Linked DNA regions of Drosophila melanogaster. The protein of the gene in region 1 interacts with the protein of each later gene in a pairwise test. Each region holds a gene or a part of one and is shown on either strand. Other genes may lie near its edges.

Region 1 (9,642 bases):
ACGAAAGGCGGCTCCATGGACACTCGCGCCGAGTTGGCGGACCTCATCAAGAAGAAGGCCGAAACATCGGTGAGACACAATATAAACAAACCCGAAATCGCAGCACTTTATCATTTTTTTGTTGCATAAATGACAGGAACAACTGGCCAATCTGGAGCGACAGATCTACGCCTTCGAGGGCTCCTACCTAGAGGACACGCAGTTGTGCGGAAACATCATCCGAGGCTGGGAGCGCTATCTGACCTCCAACAAGGCCACCAACTCCAAGGCCGACAAGCGGAATCGCAAGTTCAAGGAGGCCGAGCGCCTGTTCTCCAAGTCCAGCATCACCTCCATGGCTATATGCAATCGTAAGTGGGGGATAATTCATACTGTGTCATTCGCTTGTGTAATCGATCTAGGCTTTATGCCCAGAAGGGTGTAAATTGATACGCTTTAGTTGCCATACATGAGTATGTTTATTCGCCTTTAGCTGAGCGCGCCAGCGAATCGGATTCCATCACAAATGAAGACTCCAGCGACAATCAGATCTCAATCAATCAGAACACCACAACGGCCCACGACGGAACCACGACAATCAAGAGCACACCGAAAGACGAAAAGGGTAAGGCAGCACAGCACATTGAGATTCAACTTTAGCGCTTTTCTCCAGAAAAGTATATATGTTTAATTACACCTTTTTATTTACAGATTCACCCTCGCATCGCAATGAGGGCAGCGTAGTGAGCGGAATGGTGTCTGGATCTACGAACAGTGGAGGGAACAAGGATCTCCTCGGCACACCCACTTCGAATACAAAGAGCAAACTATCCACGAACTCCAGTGCGACAGCGAAGAAAAGCGGTCACATAAACAAGAAGATTCGACATCGATGATAACTGCTACCGTGTAATCCGCATCTGATAAAGCACTATTTACCTTCAAAGTTTTTAAATTAAAATTTGTACATGAAATAAAGCGAATGTAGATTTACAAACTTAGTTTATTTCCATACAAATGTCTTCTTTCTACATTTATCACTTCAATATTTAAAGGCAACTACTTTCAGCATCGCGTCATACTTTTGACTCATAGTTTTGATAGACATACAGGGTTTTTCCTCGGCTCAAAGTTAAGTTTGCAATAGTTTGATTAGGAAATGATGAGTAAAATATATTGTGGCACACTATAGTCGATTTTCTATAGTCGATGCACGTCATATAAAGAAAAATATTCATACATTTTGTGATTAAATGAATTCTATATAGAATGTAGAATGAAGTGAAATATATTCATACATTTTGTGAGAAAAAAAGTTATACTTTACTATTAAATTGATTAATTCGAAGAGAAGAAAATACTATGTCATGTTAAAATGCCTTTTTGTTTGAGAAATGGATTCAATCGTACTTTGAGTTGCAGATCTACTAAAGGCTCTCTGTTTGGGAAATATTCTGAAAAGAGACATTTTAGGGAACTGGTTACCCGAACTATGAACTATAAGACTTACTGTTTCTTGAATAGTACAAGAGTTTTGCGCCGCAGAATGAATAGCACAAATATAATGACGCCTTGGGACCAGTTGAAGTAGTCAGCTACCAGAAAGATATTGACCCACAGTTTCTCGCGTTGCACCAAGTAGGAGAATATCTCAAAGCTCCACGACATCCCCATCACAGTGAAGAGCAGCAGAAATTGTGTGTAACTGTAACGAATTGATAATATTTATCTTAAACTGACATTTTCAACTATTATAATTGATATACTTCTGTTTGTCCGAATTCAGCTTCTGTATTCTACCTTCATTGCGAGCAATCTTTCGAAGAGTCCTCTTGGAATCTATTATGTGTTTAGCCGTCAGAACAAACATAGTTATGTTGAAGAGAATCAGGAGCACCATCGGTCCATAGAAGTACACCATTGCAGACCAGCTTTTAGCTGAGGGTGGAAAGAAAAACATTGGTGAGCTGGTACCACAAGCCGGATACAAAACAGAACCCACTATAGATCCAGCAATGCCCTTCGTCGCCCACGCGAGGCTGCCACTCCTCGTTGTTCACAACGTTATCAGCCAGATAGGTGACTCCGGTCAAGGCCAAAGGCATTGCCCAGGCGAAGCAGCTGTATAGCAGAAACGCACGTTCTGACCGAATGTTCATCGAGGCACAGGGATTGGTAAGACATTTCCAATAGTGCCGACTGATGATAGATAGCCAAAAGAACGCAGCCATGACGAAAAAGTATCCCAAGAAACCTGTCGTAAATGGTCAATGGTTTGTCAAGTTGTGTTGAAATGCATCCCCTCTAAGCTAACCTGCTGCTTTACAGAAATCGAGCGATAACTCCCACAGATCAAGGAGTAGGAACAGGTATCCGAAAAATAGGCACATCATGTAACAGATGAAACACTTGCCCTCCAAATTCATTAGCTTCTTAACGCACAGGTACACGGCGATGGTAAGAACCAAGCATATCAACGATGTGATCATCACTATGGAAATAGGAAAGATATAGAACTGGGAGCTACCATGCAAGCAATGGGCATCATCTTACCAACGGTCTGTCCCGTTCTGGATGGCAGTATCAAGCAGTTGTGGGGTATAATGCGAATGGAGTTGTTGTTACCTTCGCCGAATGTTCGGTGCTGCAGACAGTACTCCGACTTGTCCAAATACACTTGATCGTAGTGGCGCAGCAATCTTCCATTCTGCAGAGAGCCAAAGCATAAATAAATCCTGCCCAAAAATGCTTATTTTTCGAGCAGCCATACCTCGAACAAGGTGTACTCATCCATTATATCCCGGTTGTCTAGGTAAAACATATCATCGCAGGGCTTTGGCAGATCCCACTGCACCATGAGCTCCTTCTTATAGTGCCTTTGCACCACTGATCCGTCGTCCAGGGTCACATTTAGCATGGGGTCCAGTAATTCGTTCTCCTCCGTCGTCATGTTGGCGTAGCATTCGCCCATATCCATTATGTGGTCATGTGGGCAGCAAAACCTGACGCAAGTCCTTAGCTTGCACACACATCCTCTCACGTGACTTGGCACCTGCTCCTTATCTCCATTCGCCAGAAGCTTGAATTCATACTTGGCCGTCAAATGGGCGGGAATAAGTAATCCCTCGTAGAGGTATGATCCATTCGAGAGCCTCTGGCCTTCCGAGATATCAACGGTATCATAGAAACTGCAGTCGGCAATCTCAGCACTCGAAGATTGCAGATTCAGCAAGAAATATATTAGGATCGATGCAGAAAGTAACATTTTTGAACTAGCAATCATATAGTTAGCTGGACATTCTTTAAATATTACTTAAATAAATAAGAATGTAGTGGTACTACAAAATAGCAGCGACTTCACTTTGCGGATGCTGTTTTACGATTGGCACAAACTAACTGGGAAAGCGTTATGAAAAGGGAATGTAAAAATTATTATTTTGATAAAAAAGGCTTATCGGACATTCCAATTCGTTGCTCATTTCTGAGCCATCTTTTTTTCCTACTGAGCGAGGGTTGATAAATTATGTATAAAACTTAAATTATGTATGTATTATTCAAGCAACTGCTTAGGTAAACTATTCTTTTTCTTTTATTCTTTTTTTTTTACATATTAACAATAGTATTACATAAGCTTATTTATATAAATAAATCATTTAAAAAACACAATTTTTAACTTTTCAAAAGTAATGCAGCTTATCAGTTTTCTGTAGCATAAAATAAAATATAAATGGAATTTTAAGTATTTGGTACTGACTGTAGGTTCCTTAAAAACTATTTGTGAGATACATTCGAATAGCCCGCCAAGGTGATTCCGCTATGCGATAGTTGGTATTTTTGTAACGTTTTTCCCATCGATACGTTCCCAGTCACGTTTTCGTTGGCATTAGAAGTGGAGAAACATCGATGTTGGCGAACATCCATGTTTTCGATGTCTTTGGCAAAAAACAAATAAATTGATCTTTAAAAAAAAAACTTACATTTCAGATATTTATCCATGTCTTCCAAGACACCAGCCTACACCACCGGCGAGTCACAATAAATATGCAATATGCTATTAATAATTGTATTAGAAAATATGGAAATTAATTTAGACTTACAATTTACACACTTTGCTGTTTCTATGCGCTGAAAACATCGACGATTCCTCGAAAAACATCGACGTTTTTGATTTTTCGAAAACATCGATGACATCGATGTTGGCATCGATGTTTCTCCACCTCTAAGATACAACCCTAAAATATTTCTGCTGTCGGCAAATCTGAGTGTTTGCCACAAAACTGTTTGAAAACGCAATCCCAGCGAGGGCAACCGAATCAGGCCGGCAGAGCGAGGTCACCAGGAAGACGCGCAAACGAGGTCACCACCTGCACAAGACACAATGGGCAGCAGCGCCACGCAAACCACGGTGCCGTTCCGTGCAATTTGTTTATGTCTGCTGATCGCCAGCTGCTACGTGTCGCTCTCCCAGGCAGATGAGCACAATCACAAGGTGAGTCCGGATGCCACATCCCTCGAGCACCGAATACATGATCCACTTTGCCACGCAGTACAATGACCGGGAGGAGGTGGTACTGTGGATGAACACGGTGGGCCCGTACCACAATCGGCAGGAGACGTACGCGTACTTCTCTCTCCCCTTTTGCAGTGGCCAGAAGTCCTCGATATCGCACTACCACGAGACGCTGAGCGAGGCGCTGCAAGGAGTCGAGCTAGAGTTCAGTGGCTACGAGATGGAGTTCAAGAGCGACGCCCCCAAATCGGTCATCTGCATGGTCACCTTGCAGGAGGAGAGCGCCAAGGCATTCACCTATGCCGTGAAGAACGAGTACTGGTACCAGATGTACATCGATGGACTGCCCATTTGGGGAAAAGTCGGTGAGCGCGACGAGCGCGATGGCAAGTACTATATCTTCACGCACAAGAAGTTCGACATCGGCTACAATGGCCAGCAAATCGTGGATATCACCCTGACCACCGAGGGCCGCGAGGAACTCAAGCCGGGATCCCACATCAACTTCTCCTACGAGGTCAACTGGAAGCCCAGCAAGGTGGAGTTCAAGAATCGATTCGACAAGTACCTGGATCCCAACTTCTTCCAGCACAGGGTGCGTATAGTTCAACTAGTTTTACTCCACAACTTTCAAATGAATCATATTCTATATAAATAGCAAGAGGAAAAGGTCAAAGTTTGATGACATCATCTTTTCTTTAATCTTTTCTAGATCCACTGGTTCAGCATCTTCAACAGCTTCATGATGGTCATCTTCCTGGTGGGTCTGGTGTCCATGATTCTGATGCGAACTCTGCGCAAGGATTATGCTCGGTACAGTAAGGACGAGGAAATCGACGACATGGAGCGAGATCTTGGTGATGAATACGGCTGGAAGCAGGTGCATGGCGATGTCTTCCGTTCTCCGCCCAACACACTGCTCTTCTCGGCGTTGGTGGGCGCTGGATACCAACTGATTTCGGTTGTATTCTGTGTGATCATGTTCGCCATAGTTGGTGAATTGTACACGGAACGCGGCTCCATGCTGTCCACGGCTATATTTGTGTATGCCGCCACCTCACCAATCAATGGATACTTTGGAGGATCGCTCTATGCCCGCCTGGGTGGACGCATGTGGATCCGACAGATGCTGGTGTCCGCTTTTACAGTTCCAGTGGCTGTGTGCGGCACGGCTTTCCTGATCAACTTCATTGCCATTGGATATCACGCGTCGAGAGCCATTCCCTTCGGTACCATGGTGGCGGTCACTTGCATCTGCCTGTTTGTCATCCTGCCCTTGACTCTGGTGGGTACTGTCGTGGGCCGCAATCTGGACGGCCAACCAGACTTTCCATGCCGCGTCAACGCGGTGCCACGACCCATTCCCGAAAAGAAGTGGTACATGGAGCCACTGATTATTGTGCTTCTTGGCGGTGTCTTGCCCTTTGGATCCATCTTCATTGAGATGTACTTCATCTTCACCTCCTTCTGGGCGTACAAGATCTACTACGTCTACGGCTTCATGTTGCTGGTTTTCAGCATCCTGACTGTGGTCACCGTGTGCGTCACCATCGTGTGCACCTACTTCCTGCTAAATGCCGAAGATTACCGATGGCAGTGGACGAGTTTCATGGCTGCGGGCTCCACGTCGATTTACGTGTACGCCTATTCCTTCTATTACTTCTTCTTTAAAACCAAGTAAGATGCCTTTTTCTAGCATATTATCCATATATTTATATTTCATTACTTTACAGAATGTTCGGTCTGTTCCAAACGGCCTTCTACTTTGGCTACATGGCACTCTTCAGCGGCGCCTTGGGCATTATCTGCGGCACCGTCGGCTATGTGGGCACGAATCTCTTCGTGCGCAAAATCTATTCCAATGTGAAAATAGACTAAGAGCCCTGCGACTGCAAACCCACCCCCAGATCTGTATATCATCCTAATCGATTAACAATTGTATTTATTGAGTAGAGTTTTAGTTCTGTTTCACAACTTTAGCTCCAGTTGGCTCTCCTCTTTTCGTCTCTTTGGGTTACCCACTTCTCATGTTGGTGTGAAAATGAATGCCAGTCCAATATATTCGCACCAAAGATAAAAGATTCAGTTTAACGATGTATACGCAAACTACATATATCACCTAAAAGGTTTACTTCGGAATTATAAGACTAGACGTTTCAAATGAGAAAATTTGGGAAAACATTGTGAATTAAAAGCTCTTTCTGTTGCATTTACGTTTTGCTAGTTTTAAGAGTCAATTAATCCTATACACTAATTTTTGGTTTTGTAATTTCTACTGTTCCATAAAATAACATTTCTCTACTTACTTAAATTACTAAGAAGCTTGCTTACACAAAATATTTGATATATTTCCGAAGATAACTTTTATGTCATATATGTGCGTATGTTACGTTGCATACGGTGTACATCGAGTATTTTATTTGAATTGTTTGCCTAGAAAACTTATCAATCTATGCAACTGCAACAAAATGTGACTTGAACTTGTTTGCGCCAATTAAGTTATGTACGATGCAAGAAATGTGCTGATTAGCAATAGTCGATAATCTAATAATAAATTCAATATATAAAACCAAAAAAAAAGTTTATGACAGTATAAGCCCCCTTCATCTTGGCCATTATCAGCGAACACACAGATCGTTTCACTTTTACTATTTTTGATTCACTCGGTAACATTGACCCTCAAATTGTTTTCCAATTACTGGGAGGCAAACAACTTCAACGGTCTTATCATCCCATTTATTAGGGGGCCAATTCTGGCACTTCCATTCGTTTTCTTTTCGTTTGGGAGCACAGGATGGATGGAGTACTTTGGGGTTATTCCATGACAACACCATTGATAAAGCCTTTCGGATTCTTGTCGTTAACTGATGATGTTCGATTTGTCTCAAGTAACTGAACTATGTTTATATTACGTATACGACCAATCACTGCAGTGTTTACACACAGTGTGTCTTATACCCTAAAATGTTTGGTGAGCTTTCCAGAATCAACTATATGAATAAATGACTTAAGTTGTTTCAAATACAAGCAACTTTCAAAAATATTATCAGTATAAGTACTGAATAATTTTCCTTCAGCACTAAGTACGTTTTAATTCAAAGTTTCGGAAGTTTGGTAAGATAACCTATGGACATACCTTTGAGATTAGCAGTTTCTAGTAAACAACTATTTTGAAGTGTATCGAATGGTTTCAACTGCTGCCACAAGCCACCCTTCATCCGGATTTACTTCTCTGCTTATCGGGACTTTCAAGAGGCCCAGTGTCATCATAGTTCCAGGGAACGGCGCTAGTTTGGAAGTGAACACCTACGGAGTGGGCACTCGTCCACTAATGACGCGTGTTTTCGGTGGGCTTTGTCTCGTCAATGGAATTCTGTGATAAGTCGGAAATGTTACAGAGCCTTTTCATTTCTAGCCGTGGTAGTGTGGTAACTGATTGGAAACATATTGATTTCGTAATTTATGCTAATTCTGGGCAGTGGAAACTGTAAAGGCGCTTGGGATAATCCCTGAAGAGTTTCCGTTTTGATGAAAAGGCAATTCAAAAATCTGGGTGTCACTTTGATGGGTATCGCCCACATTTGGTCACATAAACTCTACAATCTGATCACTGTTTATGACCTGATAGACAGTTGATGTATTTTTGAAGTTGTCCCGCTGATTGCGGCTGGCTGGCCAAGAATCAAACCGAGAACCCTGCTGACCCAGTTTAAAGGCTTGTCGTCGGGCCTAATGATGTTCGTGTATATTTTGTTGCATAAATTATCATAATTGTCACTGCGCCGACTGGGTGATGGCATTTTTCCTTTTGATCGCTTAGCATTTCCCTTTCGATGGTGGGTTAAGAACAGTTATAGAGATGCGGGAAATGTGTTTTCTGTTCGATCTAGAGATTATTTTGTATATTTTCTATGCATATTAAAACGTAGCTCTCGAGTTTTTCAGCTTATAAAAGCCGAATTCGAATTTTGGATCTCAGTCCGATCTGAAGAGAAATCCGAAGTACATCATGAGTTTTTTGGGACTCTTGGCTTTTCTGGTTGCTGGTAAGTTTATAAAACATTTATAAATTTTTCTACAATATTACAATACCATATATTCCATCAGGTCTTTGCTCCACCGCCCAGGCTTCGTTGGTGAAATGCTCTTGTGATCCTGGTCCACAGGGGGAACGAGGACCTCCAGGTCCGCCTGGACCTCCTGGCAATCAGAACGGTCTCTCTGGCAGTGGTTCTGGCTACTGGGGCTATCCACCCACAGGTCCTTACCCCCCAAATCTGCCTTTCATCCAGGGGCCTAGAGGCTTACCAGGACCGCCTGGTCCTCCTGGATATTGTTTCCCATGCCCAGCTCCTCCACCTTTGAGATCCTTTCCGCCACCGGGAGTTCCAGTCCCTCCTTTCATTTCCACCCCAGGTGGTGGCGGATTTGGTGGAGCCTCTGCATTGACCACCGCTGTGGGCAACATTATAGTGATTCCAGGAGGACCAGGAACGGGATTAGCTGGTCGCGCTCAGTTCTTCCACATTTCACCCGATGGCCAGGTGGTGCAGATCGATCGACCGCAGAATCTGCCCAGTGAACTGTTCGATACACCGGTGAACCAAGGTTCCGGTGCTCCCATTCCTCCACCGCAACCCACATCGTCATCTCTCTCGGGGATCACACCACCAGCAGTCCAAGTGCCACCAACTCAACCCACGCCCGGCGATCTGGGAGCCCAGCAGCCCACAATTTTGCCCGAGAATATGGAGGAAACTGTGTTTGCGGTTGGCAATCGCAAGGACTTCCTGCGAGGTAGCTCCGATGCCAGCGATTGGAGAAGGATTCTCCTCCTGGGAGAGCGACCCACCGATGGTCTACTCAAGGGCCAGTCCGTCCAGCAGCTCAGTCCCAACCAGCTCGAGAGCAGCGTGGAGAACTTCCAGAGGGCTTTGGTCGAACTGAAGGAGAAGTATGCCACGCTCATCCAACCGCGTAACTCAAACCAATATGCAGTCATCATTTGAAGGGAAAACTTAAGATTAAATTTAGTTTAATAATTTAATAAAAACTGTACTGATAATGTCTAAAAAGAATATAAATGACCATTTGATATGGAAGTAGAGGTATTAAGATGTCTCTTTTATGTCTTTCATCTATAGATCTTTTAG
Region 2 (5,171 bases), on another chromosome or scaffold:
GTCACTAGCATCCACGGTGATCGCACGCAGAAGGAGCGCGAGGAGGCACTGCGCTGCTTCCGATCGGGCGACTGCCCCATCCTGGTGGCCACAGCCGTGGCCGCTCGTGGCCTGGACATTCCGCACGTTAAGCACGTTATTAACTTTGACCTGCCCTCGGATGTGGAGGAGTATGTCCACCGTATCGGGCGTACCGGACGTATGGGTAATCTTGGTGTGGCCACCTCCTTTTTCAACGAAAAGAACCGCAACATTTGCTCCGATCTCTTGGAGCTGCTGATCGAAACGAAGCAGGAGATCCCCAGTTTCATGGAGGATATGAGTTCGGATCGCGGACATGGCGGAGCCAAGCGGGCTGGACGAGGCGGTGGTGGACGTTATGGTGGCGGCTTCGGCTCCAGGGATTACCGTCAAAGCTCTGGCGGCGGCGGTGGCGGACGCAGTGGACCGCCACCACGTAGCGGTGGTTCCGGATCAGGAGGCGGCGGCGGCAGTTACCGCAGCAATGGAAACTCGTACGGTAAGTTTGGTGAGTGTGGAATCATCCATCAGCAGTAATCAGTTTAAAGGCAGAAACTTAACAGTGGATTTCCTTTACAGGCGGCAATTCGGGCGGCGGTGGATACTATGGCGGCGGCGCCGGTGGTGGCTCCTATGGCGGCTCCTACGGCGGCGGCAGTGCCTCGCACTCTTCGAACGCACCCGACTGGTGGGCTCAATGAGCAAGGCCTCAGCTTCAGGCAAAGGACCTGGGCCAGCAGCAGCAGCAGCATCAGCAGTCGCATCGTAGCCACTTTCGCAAATAACCAAACGGAGTAAAACAAAGTCGATAACAACTATATATGTGTACACACGTATACTATATAGGAACAGCAAATGTGAAAGAGAAACTGTCTGTGCGCAGCGCAACACAAATCACGAAAATACAGAAAAGATACACAGATGCACCCTCCACCCCACCCTCGTTTAGCAATTCACTCCTCTCTCACAACCTCAAAAACCAGGAGCAAGCGTTAATAATAAACTGTGCAAGTCCATCGCGAAAGTATATTACATTCATGTATAGCCAGCCCAAGCCGCCCTCCATTTCCATCTCACCCATCATTATATTTTATGAATTCGATGCGCGTAGTTGAAGGATATGCAAGCAAACACATACATATTTAAAATATGCTAAACAACCACAAATATTAAGAATATTTAAGCAAATGATAAAATTTTTGAATTTTTGTCCATAAGTTACAATTCTCACACATCATTTTTCTTGGAACTCTTAATATACATATATATATATATATATATATGTATTCTTATATATATATATATATATATCTAGACATAAATATTGTCAATGTCGGATCGAAACGATGAAAGCGCAAATCCTTGAACTTCAATTGATGATTTTAAACGAAGAAAACATAAAAATAGTAATGGTATATATATTATTAAATATATAGATCGAGATAGAATGTACTATATGAAACAAGAAACCAACACAAACAAGTAATTAAAACAAAAAAAAAACAAGTTTGCTAAACTAAAGCTTAATAATTTAGCAAATGAGAAAAAGAACTCGCATGGTTGTTTTTAATTTTTTCTGCATTTGGTGTAACAGGTGATTTTTTTGGGATTGGCAGATCGTGTCCGATAACGCTGTAAAGCACCAACGTTTACTAATTCCTTGGCGCCCTATTATCTTTTCATAAATATGTTCAATTAAGATTTATTTACTTACTGATATCACTTTTTGAGTTAGCTCCATTGATAAGAATTGGCAAGTTGCCTGTTCTTTGGTTTTAGTTCAGTACGCTTTTCGAACCAATACGTTTCGATGTAAGAGATCATTGGATTTTCAACCGCGACGAGCTGCTGGCCATATTATCAAAATAATTAAGGAGTGGAATATCCATAGGATAGGTTAGTAACCTTTAGGAGCTTCTCAGATGAGAGCTTTGTCGCCGGTTTCCCAGCGGCAAAGCTTCAATTATGCACATTTAAGCAATCAGTATAATTGAATGTTCGAAACGTGGGGAGCGAGAATGTAAGTAGGAAATGCATCAAATAGTGCCGAGGATGTGACGATCGTGGCGATGCCTACCCGTTTGCTAATTAGATTAGATAGGGCAAGTTGATTAGTTTGCTCTGATGTTTTCTAAAGAGGGGAGCTTGTCGATTTGTCGTTGTTTGTTTGCCAGATAAATTTGCTTGAACAGCAAAGCTCTACGCTTCTTGATCGCTGGATTTTGAAATAATAAACAGCGTGGGCGCTTGACTAGGCCACACCCCGTTTTATTATTATTTTCGGCAGTCCGGCGGAAATTTTCAGTGCACTCCCAGTTGTATTCGCGGATCTCAGCTGTGTCAATTTCAGACTGTCAACATATAAACACGACGAGGATGCAGAAGCCACATCATGGTCCGTGCTGGATGTTGCTTCTACTGGCATCGCTGATCGGTACTTTTATGCTGGCCTTCAGCTACTGGATGTTTGTGCCGCGCGAGGAGTCACTATGGTCAATGATATCGAACTACAGTGGATCTGGAATAAAGTACTCCCTGCCGCCGTCAGCAGTACCTGAGGAACTTAAGCTTCGGCAGAGACCGCCCTTCGTTTACCAGATATTACATTGAAAGTAGAAGTACAATATAGTGTTTATATGCTATGTAATCTTACGCTAGTTTAACAATAAATTACATGTACACAGAAGCTGCTTTGGGTGGCTTGGTTGGGGGGGTAGCAGGCATCACAAGTTGGTGGCTTCGAGTCAGACGTCCGACTTTTGATTGAGGGCCGCATAGCCCACTGGGATCTCCTTCATCTCGGTCTGCAGGCAGAGAAACTCGCCGCCTATGCACATTATTGTGCCGGTGATGACATTCAGTAGCCACCACGATGCGTTCGCGGGAAAGGAGCGGTTGTACCACCAGCAGATCAGCAAATGCAGCACGTGGAAGGTGCAACTGCCATGAAAGGGAAGCATGAGTTGTAAAAGCAAAAGATTAAGTGTGTGCACTAGCTATAAGCCCACCTAAAGTCCAGACAGAGCTTGGCTCTTCTCACAATGCACCACAGTGCCAGGGAGGCTAAGAACGCATTTAAAACAAATGCGCAGATCACCAGGCGGCCACCCATGTCGTAGATGTGGATCTCCTTTAAGCAACATTAAATCAAAGTAAGGAGAGGGGTTTCCATGATATATGGTATATAGCATATGGCATACATGGTATTCGAACAAGTGATCCAGACTATAGTTGTCCCCGGACAACTTGTTGGCCACGAAGACGAGTAGGCCAAGGGTGAAGTACACGCAGAACTGCATGGACACAATCTGTGAGGACAGCAGCGTGGGATCCCACTGCGTGTTGCGAAAGGTGCCGCCCTTCATGGTTGCCTCGGGTGGCCAAATCAGCGTTTAGAGAACGAAATTTCTAATTTTTAGCTGGCCATAACAAACTGACTCAACCATTAGAGGTGACACTGGAGGACTATCGATTCTCTTCGGCATGGTTGTGAATAGAAGGGGTTCATTTGCTACACAGAAAAAAAAGAAAATTATTGATGCTTGCCGTAGTAACTATATATCGCATGAGTTTTCCTTCAAAATGGCCAGACTTACTCCCAAATTGAATTTTCGTTAAAACTCTAGTACATGCATTTACTTTTTTACATATTATACTTTTAATACTCTATCGGGTACAATCGATATCCGGCGATAGTCGTCATGGATCAGGATCACTTAAAGAATGCTAAAAACGCCACGCGGAGAGTTGTGAGTAAAGTACGGCTTAAACGGGACCGGATTACAGAATGATTCCGCCCACAGGGTCGTTTGCGGTCGCTGGGAATCGTTACAGTCGGAGGAGCTGCCTTGGTGGCGGGCATTACGGCATACAAGAACCAGGACCAGTTGTTCCGGACCTTCGTGATGCCAGCGGTGCGACTTCTTCCGGCGGAAGCCAGCCATCAACTGGCCGTGCTGGCGTGCAAGTACCGCCTGTGCCCGGTTTCACAGTACCATGATGACCAGAACTTGCACACGTCGTTCTTTGGCCGGATGCTTAGCAATCCCATTGGCATTGCAGCGGGATTCGATAAGAACGCGGAGGCGGTGGACGGCCTGCAGGATCTAGGATTCGGATTTATAGAGGTGGGCACAGTTACCCCGGCGGCTCAGGAGGGCAATCCCAAGCCGAGAGTATTCCGGTTGACCGAGGACAAGGCCATCATTAATCGGTACGGATTTAATAGCGACGGGCATCAGGCCGTGCTCCAACGGCTGCGCTTGCTCCGCAAAAAGGAGAACTTCAATGGAGTTGTGGGCGTGAATCTGGGCCGGAACAAGACCACCATGAGCCCGATAGCGGATTATGTACAGGGTGTTCGGGTTTTCGGGCCCGTAGCAGACTACCTGGTCATTAATGTGAGCAGTCCGAACACCAAGGGCCTGCGCGATATGCAGAGCAAGGAGAAGCTAAGAGAGCTCCTGGAACAGGTCAACGACACGAAATCCTCCCTGGATAAGAACAAGAATGTGCCTATACTCTTGAAACTTTCGCCGGATCTATCTTTGGACGACATGAAGGACATCGTGTGGGTAATCAAGCGCAAGAAGAGCCGCGTGGATGGCCTGATCGTTTCAAACACCACGGTGTCGCGGGAAAACATCGAAAAGAACAAGCTGGCCGAGGAAACTGGCGGATTAAGTGGTCCTCCACTCAAGGCCCGCTCCACAGAGATGATCGCCCAGATGTACCAGCTCACCGATGGAAAGATTCCCATCATAGGCGTCGGCGGAGTGGCTTCCGGCTATGATGCATACGAAAAGATCGAAGCTGGAGCTTCCTACGTCCAAATCTACACGGCTTTAGTGTACGAGGGACCCGCTCTTGTGGAAGACATTAAGGCGGAGCTGTCGGCGCTGATCACACGGCTGGGTCACACTAATGTTGCGGACGTGGTGGGCACCAACAGCAAGTTCTACTTGCCCAAATGAATCAAAGATGCCACGATTTGAAGCAAGTGCTGCATTCATTTGTGTAAAACTAAGCTGTTAACAAACATTTCTCATGCTTTTCCTTTGGTCTAACCAATAAATCATTAAATTCTTCATTGATTAACTCTGAGGACTTTCATTCGCCCGCTGGACTGTGAGCACTCGTCCATCGAGGAA

What was found.
Region 2: the proteins of TM9SF3 (region 1) and Sys1 interact in a two-hybrid assay, tested with the Drosophila melanogaster proteins (one large-scale study listed by BioGRID).

The regions. Positions count from the first base shown.
Region 1 is NT_037436.4:5,598,514-5,608,155, reverse strand, and holds TM9SF3 (transmembrane 9 superfamily protein member 3), read left to right. Parts: upstream 1-4,176; 5' UTR 4,177-4,357; coding exon 4,358-4,468; intron 4,469-4,526; coding exon 4,527-5,084; intron 5,085-5,201; coding exon 5,202-6,166; intron 6,167-6,222; coding exon 6,223-6,367; 3' UTR 6,368-7,060; downstream 7,061-9,642. Other genes in the region: Eaf6 (Esa1-associated factor 6), read left to right, coding at 1-69, 137-350, 473-604, 691-875; mthl2 (methuselah-like 2), read right to left, coding at 1,340-1,433, 1,490-1,684, 1,746-1,917, 1,982-2,233, 2,294-2,470, 2,533-2,686, 2,750-3,262; CG10591 (uncharacterized protein), read left to right, coding at 8,499-8,535, 8,597-9,498.
Region 2 is NT_033777.3:8,651,336-8,656,506, reverse strand, and holds Sys1 (Sys1 golgi trafficking protein), read right to left. Parts: upstream 3,497-5,171; 5' UTR 3,387-3,496; coding exon 3,222-3,386; intron 3,152-3,221; coding exon 3,030-3,151; intron 2,962-3,029; coding exon 2,766-2,961; 3' UTR 2,660-2,765; downstream 1-2,659. Other genes in the region: bel (belle), read left to right, coding at 1-529, 601-722; CG42489 (uncharacterized protein), read left to right, coding at 2,398-2,631; Dhod (dihydroorotate dehydrogenase), read left to right, coding at 3,723-3,770, 3,825-4,994; SLIRP2 (SRA stem-loop interacting RNA binding protein 2), read right to left, coding at 5,115-5,171.